Arabidopsis thaliana: one gene and its partner. The protein of the gene in region 1 interacts with the protein of each later gene in a pairwise test. Each region holds a gene or a part of one and is shown on either strand. Other genes may lie near its edges.

The links.
Region 2: the proteins of TAFII21 (region 1) and TAF12 interact in a two-hybrid assay, tested with the Arabidopsis thaliana proteins (one study listed by BioGRID).

Annotation. Positions count from the first base shown.
Region 1 is NC_003070.9:20,213,399-20,218,944, reverse strand, and holds TAFII21 (TATA binding protein associated factor 21kDa subunit), read left to right. Parts: upstream 1-3,679; 5' UTR 3,680-3,810; intron 3,811-4,059; 5' UTR 4,060-4,075; coding exon 4,076-4,336; intron 4,337-4,578; coding exon 4,579-4,869; 3' UTR 4,870-5,046; downstream 5,047-5,546. Other genes in the region: NF-YA5 (nuclear factor Y, subunit A5), read left to right, coding at 239-697, 783-956, 1,071-1,364; SPL2 (E3 Ubiquitin ligase family protein), read right to left, coding at 1,642-1,918, 2,003-2,122, 2,305-2,426, 2,518-2,679, 2,768-2,866, 3,094-3,465; RSH3 (RELA/SPOT homolog 3), read right to left, coding at 5,184-5,495.
Region 2 is NC_003074.8:3,102,744-3,109,931, reverse strand, and holds TAF12 (TBP-associated factor 12), read left to right. Parts: upstream 1-3,105; 5' UTR 3,106-3,133; coding exon 3,134-3,709; intron 3,710-3,801; coding exon 3,802-3,960; intron 3,961-4,080; coding exon 4,081-4,578; intron 4,579-4,938; coding exon 4,939-5,013; intron 5,014-5,112; coding exon 5,113-5,191; intron 5,192-5,291; coding exon 5,292-5,356; intron 5,357-5,448; coding exon 5,449-5,484; intron 5,485-5,605; coding exon 5,606-5,737; 3' UTR 5,738-6,052; downstream 6,053-7,188. Other genes in the region: AT3G10090 (Nucleic acid-binding, OB-fold-like protein), read left to right, coding at 778-972; AT3G10080 (RmlC-like cupins superfamily protein), read left to right, coding at 1,560-2,456; AT3G10060 (FKBP-like peptidyl-prolyl cis-trans isomerase family protein), read right to left, coding at 6,131-6,158, 6,245-6,285, 6,361-6,438, 6,521-6,610, 6,690-6,764, 6,860-6,917, 7,043-7,098, 7,175-7,188.

The sequences.
Region 1 (5,546 bases):
TGTTGTGTAAGTTCTAGCCATGTTCAAAGTTTGAATCTTTTGGAACCCTTTAGATCATGAAACAATCTTACTGTGTCATTGAACCTGGAATCTGTGTTTTAGGATTGCTTTTATAATCTTTTGGTATCATTTCTCTCTTGTATTTGTTGATTATGTGGATCATGAATAATATCATATGATTTATGACTGGACTTGTTGGTTTGGACATTTAGTTTATTGAAGTAAAGATTTGAAGACAATGCAAGTGTTTCAAAGGAAAGAAGATTCATCTTGGGGAAACTCAATGCCTACAACAAATTCAAATATTCAAGGATCTGAATCTTTCAGCTTGACTAAGGATATGATAATGTCTACAACACAATTACCCGCGATGAAACATTCGGGTTTGCAGCTGCAAAATCAAGATTCAACCTCATCACAATCTACTGAAGAAGAATCAGGCGGCGGTGAAGTTGCAAGCTTTGGAGAATATAAGCGTTATGGATGCAGCATTGTTAATAACAATCTCTCAGGTTACATCGAAAACTTGGGAAAGCCTATTGAAAATTATACTAAGTCAATTACTACCTCGTCGATGGTGTCTCAAGACTCTGTGTTTCCTGCTCCTACTTCTGGTCAAATATCTTGGTCTCTTCAATGTGCTGAAACGTCACATTTCAATGGTTTCTTGGCTCCTGAATATGCATCAACACCAACGGTAATATGCTGTGAAGCCTTTTGTGCTTTTACTATTCTGAATCGATCTGGCGCATTGATTGGTTGATTGGGAAATCTTTTTGCAGGCGCTGCCACATTTAGAGATGATGGGTTTGGTTTCTTCAAGAGTGCCATTGCCTCATCACATTCAAGAGAATGAACCAATATTTGTCAATGCGAAACAGTATCATGCGATTCTCCGTCGCAGGAAGCACCGTGCTAAACTCGAAGCTCAGAACAAACTCATCAAATGCCGTAAAGTATGACTGTTTTCACTTTCCATTTTGCCTAAAACACCAAAGAGAAAGAGGGAAAACTAACTCAGAAGATCTTGATGATTTGATGTAATAAAGTTTTGTTTTCTTTTTCTGTAGCCGTACCTTCATGAGTCTCGCCATCTTCATGCTTTAAAGAGAGCTAGAGGCTCCGGTGGACGTTTCCTCAATACAAAGAAGCTTCAAGAATCATCAAACTCACTGTGTTCTTCTCAAATGGCAAATGGACAAAATTTCTCTATGAGCCCTCACGGTGGTGGAAGCGGAATCGGGTCTAGTTCGATCTCACCGAGCTCCAATTCAAACTGTATCAACATGTTCCAAAACCCGCAGTTCAGATTCTCAGGTTATCCGTCAACACACCATGCCTCAGCTCTCATGTCAGGGACTTGAGGCACATGAGAAGACCTTGCTCCGAGAGAACTCAGGCTAAACTCCGGAGACTGGTGATGATACATGACGGGAAGTCATCCTTGGCTACTTATGTTATCGGTTACAAAATTTCTTCCTTTTAAAAACTTTGCTTTCATATCCTCTACAATCTCTCACTCTATATTGAGTGACTTGACGAACTTTCAAATCATTGTCAAACTATTTTGTTAACTTCCGATTCTCTGAGAGTACAAATTGCATTACCCTATTACATACAATGAGAGAAGATTCAGGGTCACTAAGAGTAATATACACGCATAGATCCCCTAATGCTCTGAAGACAAACTGGACACTTAGGGTTTAACTCTCGTTCCACGGTTGAAGCACATCGCCTGCAACATACTACATGTCCACAGGGAATAAACGCAGGTACTCTCCTTCTTGACACGCAGATCACACACAATTCTCCATCTGGGATTTCATCTGCATCTTCGGGTTCATCATCGACCACAGAATCGTTCGGTCTCTGTGGCAGTTCTCTCTGATGGTTCCATTGTTTCCATTTATTCCAGGTCCTGAAGATAAGACAGTTAAACAGATTTCAAATCGAAACATTGCCCAAATCTAAAACCAAATCTGATCTCTCACAACTCCAGTACCTGACAGCAGCATAGCTAAGGATGCCAACAGACACAATGCCCAAGATAACGCTGCCCAAGAATATAAAGTTGGTCTGTTCCATAAGGTCCTCAATCATCTTGTCCTTGGTCATCTCTGATCTGCAAAGATTATTCATAAAGATTTATATATGAACAGCAAATAGAGCCTTTCTGCAACAATGGACTAAATCTTGTCAAATGATCAACAGATTGAGAAAACATAAAGAAGAAGATGAAGTAATAATTTGAGCTAGAACGCAGGCAGATATATAAGAACGAAAAATATTCAGATAAAATCTCACAAGAAATAAGGAAGATCTTGGCACGATTTGATTTCAGGAACTCCATTATTAAAACTGTAGATGCCAACAGCTGTTATATCTTTCCCAGGTGGTAAAATCTTCTCTATATCAAGCAGACCAACCTTGGAAGAGAAAGGATTACAAAGTTAGCCAAGAACAAGTAACCATCAGTTCCTCAAAACCAGAAATTTCTTTGAATATATATATACTCACAGGATAATCGGGGTACAAAAAGGCTTGAAGAAACGAAGAATTAATAGGCTGCAAGCGATTATACACAGTGGTAAGCGGAAGAGGTTGCCTTGAGCCATCCATGTTAACAGCGACAAAACTAGAGTTCGATTGCTGATCCTTTCCAACAATGACAAATGGGACCTGCACAAAGCAAAGGATACACAAAACAAGTTTGATCATGGATACAGAGCCAAAGTTGAAAGCTCTGAAGCTGATAGAGAGACTTTACCGTTCTCGTAAAATCAGCACCGTGTTTGCGCAATGATCTCTCCAACATAAACCGGTGACCAGTGGACTGAAACAATCTCTTCCATCCACTATACACATACTGTCAACAACAAAATGATGACATTAGAAACATACATTTCCCTTCTGAGATCACACCAGTACCAACTTACATAATCCTAACTTAATCAATCACAATGAACACCTAATCATGAAGAAATCATCCAAACTCTTTAACCTAAGCCTTTGATAAGAACACAAAGCAAAATTAGGTCAATGTCAATTGCAATTTGAGGGAAACATAAACACTTAGGGTTTAGAGCAACGTACAGTTTGCGTTCTCTGAATGATAAGAGCTTTATCTCCAGTCTCCGGAGAGATTAACACGTTGTTGTTCTTGTAACCCTCATCACCGGAAATTTTCGGTTTGACGACTCCGCGAACCACAACGATTCGCTGATCATTGCTCTTCCTGTTATCGTTAGTCTCTGATTTGTCTTCAGAAGCCGGAAGCAGTGATCGGAGGTCGGAAATGGAGACTTCGGGTGCATCTTTGATCTTCTTCAACGCGGCGTTGGTAGAAGCATACTTGAGAGCAGAACCGACGGCGCTAACAGCTAAAGTCAGTCCGAGGATTGCGCCGTCGAAGGAGAGAGCGATGTCCGTCAATAGATTCAAGAGAGCACGCTCCGGCGAGGACATTGTGGTAATTTCGATTTCAACGTCGTAGACACGGTCACACGGACAAGTAAACGGAAGAGAAATGAGGCTATTATCGGTATTTAATATTATACATTCGACCGTCGTTCTAATTTGGGTCTTTAATGGGCCTATGCACGAGTGAAATACAAAATACTAGTAATAAATAGCGTTTTAGTTAAATTACATTTACACCCTCAACGTTACAGCAGATTTACAAACCAAAACCATAAATATCAGATCTAGAGTGGCAGAGATTAGTATTTCCCGATTCCTCGCCGCCGTTCATCAATCTCTCCGTCGTGTTTCTGCCACTAGCTCTCCACCAAACTTTCTCTCTCGCATTAGGTATTTATCGCCTCTTTATGGCATATAATCTTGTGTTTTGGAACTTATTGATGAAGCTAGGTTAGAATCTCCTTTGTCTTTCTTATCTCCGATTCGTGAAGCTCTAATTCTTATTTATTCGATTTATGTAATGTGTTGCTGTTACACGATGTTTGCTTGTGAGATTCGATTGAAACTTGTGTTGTTGCAACATCAATTCTGTATAAGAAAGGTTCTTAATTTGACTCTGTAGCTTTACTTTTTTTTTAGTTGTTTAGGGATAAACATGGCAGGAGAAGGTGAAGAAGATGTACCTAGAGATGCTAAGATTGTGAAATCTCTGCTTAAGTCGATGGGTGTAGAAGACTACGAGCCTCGTGTGATACATCAGTTTCTGGAGTTATGGTACCGGTATGTGGTCGAAGTGTTGACAGATGCTCAGGTTTACTCAGAGCATGCTAGCAAACCCAACATTGACTGTGATGATGTGAAGCTCGCTATTCAATCCAAAGTTAATTTCAGCTTCTCACAGCCTCCTCCAAGAGAGGTATGCATTGTTGACGATTCCATGTTTCTTCTTCTTCATTGTCTGAGAAGAGATGCGATATGATCGGTCATTTGGTATATGTGAATCATTAGGGAATTATCACTCTTACTTATGACTTATGAACTGTGTGTGACCCTCTTGCCTCATAAATTGTATCACTGAGAACCTCAAGTTTTTGTCTGTCACATCCATGCCTTTTGGTTCCTGAATCTTGAAGTTTCTGTTTTTGATGTTTGATTTAGGTTCTGCTTGAGCTTGCTGCAAGTAGGAACAAGATACCTCTGCCAAAATCGATAGCAGGACCCGGTGTTCCACTCCCACCTGAACAGGACACATTGCTGAGCCCAAATTATCAGCTCGTGATACCGAAGAAGTCGGTTTCAACAGAACCTGAAGAAACCGAGGACGATGAAGAAATGACAGATCCTGGACAGTCCTCTCAAGAACAACAACAGCAGCAACAACAAACCTCAGACCTTCCAAGCCAAACTCCTCAAAGGGTCTCTTTCCCACTCTCTAGACGACCCAAATAAGTACCCAAATAAGTAGATAGACCAAAAAATCTATAATATTTATGTATCAACAAGTAGAAATGTAACACAATCAAAAATTAATGACCAGAGCCAGTTTTTATGGACCAGATCCAGATGTGTGGTTTGAAGATTTAGAATGTAAGAGAATCAAATATTAATGACCAGAGTCAGTTTTTTAGAACATATAGGCATATCTTATATACACTGTTGTGTGGGAATCAACAATACCGAAGGTACAACAAATCTTCTGAAGCATTATACTATATATGCAACTATAGTATATATACATGAACAAAGGTAATTAAGAGAATCAGTTAGCTTCCCCAGCCAACCATGGTACCAGTAGCTGCACGGTGAGGCCGTGAAAACGCAAGCCCTCGATCATACATCCGCTGAATTTCCTCTCTGTATTCAGTCAGAGACTTGTCAGGTATGGCTGGAGTCAGCTCCACCACATCTCCCATCTTCAGCTTGCATTTCAGATCACTTACAGGTGTCTGGTTAAGTCTTGGCCTTAGCTCTTCCTTTGCCGGGATGCTGTACATTGACCATCTCGAGCTCCCTGGTCCTGCTCTGCGTAACAGGTCCGACACGGTAGAATTCTCGGGAAACTCTTGCACAGTCATCTGCATTTTCGGGTTTATCAAATTATAACTCCAAGCAAAGAAACATCCTCA
Region 2 (7,188 bases), on another chromosome or scaffold:
CTCTAAAGGTTATCTTCATGATCTCACTCAATACATATGTTTCGTTACTATATGTTTTTGCTTCTGATTGTCGTTATTCTGTAATCGTTTAGAGTCGTTTATGGTTTCCCCCATTTTGTCTGTAATGTCCATGCTCTGTTTCTTTACAGTTTCCTCTCCGGCTTGTTAGATATCAGTTTAGTTCCTGATTTACTGAGAAACCAAGCTTTTGAGCTTAAGTATGTTAGGGTTCTGACGTTGATTGAGAAATATTATAAACTGGTTTTCAAGTTTATTTCTTTCTGGAATTTCTTTTGTAGTCTGATTATAAGGTACACTGCTAGATATACTGGATAGGTTACAGTCTCTTACTACTTATCCTTGTCTCTGTTCTTTGGAATCTATCTGTAGGATTCTCTCTTTCTTGTTAGATTTATGAGCCTAGTTTCTCACTCAGTTAAATGAAACCTGATATATACAATCGTCTTCTAGCTTCTTAACTCATCAGGTGTTGCAAATTTGTAAGTGCTGTTTGGTTCTGCATTTTGCAATTGATCATTAATTGAGAAGTTGTTAAAAATCATTAGATGATGTGATCTTTAAGTTTTTTTGCTTTTACTGATTAGTGTTTTTGTAGTGTTTTCTCTGCTTTGTTTGCATCTGTTGTTCTCCAGAGCTGTGATTGGTTTATAAAGGTTATACAGTCTTGATTCAAATGTGAACAATTCTCTTTTTCTAAGGATTTTCACTTCTTTTGTAAAATTTGGTCTCTGAATGTTTTTGTTTTGTTGAATCAGAATGGATTCTCAGATCAAGCACGCTGTTGTAGTGAAAGTGATGGGAAGGACTGGATCAAGGGGTCAAGTGACTCAGGTTAGAGTGAAGTTCACTGACTCGGACCGTTACATCATGAGGAACGTTAAAGGACCTGTCAGAGAGGGAGATATTCTCACCTTGCTGGAGTCCGAGAGAGAAGCTAGAAGACTTCGTTGATTCTCTTTGCAAATTGTTTTTGGTTGCTTTGAAGAACAAATGTTATATCGTTTGGATAATTAAATTCTTATTATGATGTTAAAAAATTTAATTATCAAAGATTGATGCTTTAGACTCTAAATCTATAATATATTAAAAATCATTTCTTTATCTTCACTTTGTTTTTTTTTTTTTTTTTTTTTTTTTTTGAACTAATATCTTCACTTTGTTATATCAAAGAAATAAGTCATGTTTCACACTCTGCCTAAACCTTTACCACCGAAAAAATGATGTTCATGTGCCTCTCTAATCATGCCTTGGAGATAACAAAAAGCTTAAGCAACAAATTCATCATTTTGAATATCATGGCATGCGCACACAGCACGCCTTATACGGGCCCCTGCTTCAGCCCAAGACATAGATTTGGTTATGCCTATACCAAAATTACATTATAAACCGGGATTGACACTAGGATCCGAAACCTTGGACTCCAGTTATATTTCCATTTTTATGCACAATTGTATTAATTTGTAACTATGAATTACATAGACGAATAGTAAATTCATAAGAGATGTGTCAATCAAGCCACAAAAGGGGTTTATCAGTCAATGTACCGGCCTAACCACTCCCATAACCAAAACCACATATCCAAACGTGGTTTTTCATTTGGTACAAAAACCCACACCTTAATTTCACAGACGAAATTTTGGTTGATAAAAAGTAACCATCTTAACCAGTCTCTCATTTACCCCCACCAGATATACATATGCTTATTTAAACCGGATGTAACACAACTCTTCTTCACATGGACCTCAAGTAAAATGGAAGCAAACACTTTGTTTCTTCTAAAAGCTCTTTGTCTTCTTTGTTTTAATGTATGCTTCACATTAGCTTCCGACCCTGATCCCATCCAAGACTTCTGCATACCAAAACCTGTGACATCTCCTTACCATGACCATCACTTCTCCACCAATCTCCCTTGCAAAAACTCCTCCGAAGTAACCACCGAAGATTTTGTCTTTTCCGGTCTAAAAACTGCCGGAAACTTCACGGAGACGGGGTTCGCCACCGTCCCAGTAGGCCCAGAAAACTTCCCCGGCCTTAATACATTAGGCATCTCGTTTGTCCGGGCTGATCTCAAACCCGGATCCATTAACCCACCACATTACCATCCGCGGGCGACGGAAGTAGCCCACTTGGTTAAAGGACGGGTTTACTCTGGTTTTGTGGACTCGAACAATAAGGTTTACGCTAAAGTGATGGAAGAAGGAGAAATGATGGTTTACCCAAAAGGGCTTGTACATTTTCAGATGAACGTCGGAGATGTTACGGCCACGATTGTCGGCGGACTTAATAGCCAAAACCCTGGTATTCAGAAGATACCGTCCGTGGTTTTTGGGTCAGGGATCAATGAGGAGTTGCTTATGAAAGCTTTTGGGTTGAGTCTTAAGCAGATTGGTACGTTGAAGAAAAGATTTGATCCTGTCATGTCTAATGAACATTGATGTTTTCTCTTAAAGTCTTATCGAGATTATTACATCGAAGTTATCTTTTATGTGATGGTAGTTCTTGATCATAATGTTATTTATATATTTTGACCCAAACAATGGTCATCTTTAGCTAGACAATGTTTCTTTCTACATGAATTATTATCACTTATCCACACTTCACATTTAGAATCCTGAATTATTATCACTAAACCTACATAATTTTGGCAACGTCACAAGCTTTGAAAATTTGACAATATCTTCTCCAATCCACAAAATATATCAAAATCAATGCCAGTTCTTCTTTGCTATAAGGCTCTAAAGGCTGCAAACAAATCTCCAATTTGTCGTGACACTAGCTAATTTGATCGCTGTGTACTCTTGAGTATGTGAGAAAAAGACCAGAGACTTTGACACTAGTTAACTTGGAAGCTACATTTCCAGCAATAGAAGAAACTTGCTATCTGAGCATAATGAAACGCTGCGTTTTAACTCTCATTTATTCTTTGGGGTTAAACTCATCGTTTTAATCACACAACAGAGAAAAGGAATTGTTAAAGCCGGTCCGGTATTAATAATTATCGAGCTTTGCAGTTTCGGTTCACTTGTTTAATACCGTACCGACAATTTCGGTTTAATTAGATTTCTATATACTCAATCAATATCTCTATTCCCTCCACATTCACAACCTTTTCATGGATCAGCCACGGCAAAGCTCGACGGCGTCTCAGCCACCGGAAACACCTCCTCAGCCGTCGGATTCGAAACCATCGACTTTAACACAGATTCAACCAACGCCTTCCACAAATCCGAGTCCCTCCTCCGTTGTTTCCTCTATTCCCTCTTCCCCAGCTCCACAATCACCATCGCTCAATCCAAACCCTAATCCTCCTCAATACACGCGTCCGGTGACATCTCCGGCGACGCAACAGCAGCAACATCTCTCCCAGCCTTTAGTACGGCCGCCTCCGCAGGCGTACTCTAGACCATGGCAACAACACTCCTCTTACACTCACTTCTCCTCCGCTTCGTCGCCATTGTTATCTTCCTCATCAGCGCCAGCCTCTTCGTCTTCGTCTTTACCTATTAGTGGGCAACAAAGAGGTGGTATGGCGATTGGCGTTCCGGCTTCCCCAATTCCGAGTCCTTCTCCTACACCTTCTCAACATTCGCCTTCTGCTTTTCCCGGCTCTTTTGGGCAACAATACGGCGGATTAGGTCGTGGAACTGTTGGAATGTCAGAAGCTACGTCCAATACAAGTTCCCCTCAGGTGGATTTTGTTCTCTCATATGTGCCACATTTCAAAGAATTGTGCTCTGTTACAAAAAAAATACCAACTTTTTTCTGTATGTGTGTGTTCAGGTTAGAATGATGCAAGGAACTCAGGGAATTGGGATGATGGGAACACTTGGCTCAGGTTCCCAAATAAGGCCGAGTGGGATGACTCAGCACCAACAGAGACCAACTCAATCGTCTCTAAGGCCAGCTTCCTCCACAAGTACCCAATCTCCTGTTGCTCAAGTATGTATTTTTTACCCTTCTGGCCTCTGTATCTTGACATAGGAACTCCAGCTTTGTGACTCCTTTGTTAACAACAACTTTGTTTGCACACTTTAATTCCTTATATTTTACTTTTGGCAGAACTTTCAAGGACATAGCCTTATGAGACCTTCACCTATTAGCTCTCCTAATGTCCAATCTACTGGTGCATCACAACAAAGCTTGCAAGCTATCAATCAACCTTGGTTATCATCTACTCCCCAAGGGAAGCCGCCTTTGCCACCTCCTTCGTATAGACCACAAGTAAATTCTCCCTCTATGCAACAAAGACCTCATATTCCTCAGCAACATATTTCTACGTCAGCAGCAACTCCACAGCCTCAGCAACAACAATCTCAACAACAACATCAGCCTCAAGAGCAACTTCAACAATTGAGATCTCCGCAGCAGCCTTTAGCTCACCCACATCAACCAACCCGGGTCCAAGGTTTGGTAAATCAGAAAGTTACTTCTCCGGTAATGCCGAGCCAGCCTCCTGTGGCTCAACCAGGAAACCATGCTAAAACAGTTTCTGCAGAGACCGAGCCGTCTGATGATCGTATCCTGGGGAAACGAAGCATCCATGAGCTACTTCAACAGGTATCCACTGACCTCTCTTCATATTCTCAACTTTGGGTAGCCATTTTGCATATTGACCAGTATTCTCATTCTCACGCTTGATTCTTACTTAATGTGTGATTGATTTCTTCTACTTGGATAGATCTCTTACAGATAAAGGGGAATGTATTTGATAAAAATAAAATAGAAGAGATATTGAGTTATTTGCTAATAATACCTCCCATAGAAAGCCAAAAAGCATGTATGATGACTATTGACAGATTCAGTAATAACATATATCGATAGTTTTAGGGGCTACTTTGATGGTGTTCAACACTGAACTCTCTGCATGATATCCATTGATTTTTTTCTCTAAATTTAAAATGCCTTGTCTATCCACAGATTGACCCGTCAGAGAAATTGGATCCAGAGGTTGAAGACATCCTTTCTGATATTGCTGAAGATTTTGTGGAGTCAGTAAGTAGCCCACACCGCATTGGTTAAGAGTCAAACATTTCTGTCCTGTGATGAGTTTTTTTTTTCTAACTCCTGCTCGTTGTGTTTCCTTTAACCCAGATCACAACTTTTGGCTGTTCTTTAGCCAAGCATAGAAAGTCAGATATTCTAGAGGCTAAGGACATCTTGCTCCATGTTGGTTCGTTCTGATCAATATTATCTACCTGCCCGTTTTCTTTCAATTTCTCATTCCAATTACAATGAGTAATTTCTTTTTGGTATCTTCTCCTTAAATGTAGAAAGAAACTGGAATATTAGGCCTCCTGGTTTTAGCAGTGATGAGTTCAAGACATTTCGGAAGCCAGTAAGAATTAGAGATCTGCATTTTATCAATTCGTCTTATTTACAAAATAGTTCCTAACATCTTTGGTTGTTTCCTTGGATAATGTTTTGCAGTTGACAACAGATATTCACAAAGAGCGACTTGCGGCTGTAAGTTTTAACACATGATTTTAAACATCCTAATAGTATAGATTATGGTTCTGAGTAGAAGAGAAACTTATATATTGAAGATTTTCTTGTTGATTTTGTATATACATTGTGGATTTTGAAGATAAAGAAGTCGGTCACGGCAACAGAAGCAGCAAACGCCAGGAATCAGTTTGGGCATGGGACTGCTAATGCAAGAGGCGGTCAGGCAAAGACACCTTCTAATCCCATGGGCTCTACAACTTTCAATCACTGATGTATTAGATCAACCCTCCAATCGTGTTTGGTAGGAATTTTCCATTAAAAAGGTACGAAATTTGTATCACCCATTTTGTACCCTATCTAGATCTCACAGTCCAAGATAACTACAGGCATGGAGGCTAGGCTAGATCTTAATTTTAACCATTAGTAAAGTATCTTACCACCTCATGGGATTGAATTGATTCAATGTTTTGCAAAACGGCCAAAAGTGTATGAATTGAGTGATGAGACACAGTTATAAAGCGGTTACAAAACCGGACTAGCCGGTATAATCCATTAAACAGATTCTTCTCATACAGTTGAATCTTCCATAGCTTTGATCAATTTTATAGTTTTTTACTGAATGTACACAGAAAATCTTGGTACAATGTTGGCTTCATTAGTCCTTTTAGCCTTCAACTATCTTCACTGGCGTCCTGCAGAATAAAACCGAAAAGAAAGCTTTCAGGGCACTTTTTTCGATCAAATTTACCCAGTGTATTAGTTGATTGATTTCACATACCCGAAAGGACTCTGCTTGATTGATAACAGCTCAATGTCAAGCTGCAAAAGAAAGATAACATAAATGAACACCACTTTAGAAGCCAACAAAAATTTCAATCCATTCAACTTGGTTACCTCTATCGTAGCGTTTGGAGGAATCTCTTGCACTCCTTTCTTCCCGTAAGCCAGCTCGGGAGGAACAATCACCAATCTCTGTATATAAACCTCATAGGGTCATCAAAACAAGACTTTGAGTGGCCTGACTTTGTGAAGCCTTTCGGTTTCAAAAACTAACCTGACCGCCTACACGCATCCCTTCAACACCAAGATCAAGTCCTTTCAGAACATTGCCTCTCTCTGATTGACCAACGTCAAACCCATAAGGCTGCAAAAATTCATTATTATCAGTAAAGGATCCTTGCATATTCAAGTACAGTAATGGACTCTGTAAGATTGCCTTATACCGTTCCACCTCCAACACCAAGTCCTTGTCGACTTGTCATGAACGTTATCCCTTTCCATTTTGCAACATAGTGAACCTGCGACACAACATTTGGGTTAAGCATCAACGCTTGTTAAAACTGTTAGCATTTACATGTCCAAAGTAAACCAGGAAACGTATTCACAACCGTACTGCGACCCGAGATCCTTTCACAGCCTCTGCTCCATTGCCAACCTTTATATCATAGTACCTGCCACAATATAAACAGAAACCAAACTTGTGATTATTGCGAGAAAGACTTGATTTTTCAATCCTGTTTTGCGGTATGAGTACTGTATCGAATTCAAACAAAAGATGATGCATTGGATTACGGACTTGAGACCATTGGGGAGAGTCGTGAAATCGCTTTCCGGTAACTTGGATGCACGTAGCTGCAGAGAATTGTATGTAAGAGATTGAGTTTTGAGTCAAGAACACAATGTATGCATAGATATATATATTGCTTACAGCTCTTCTACTGG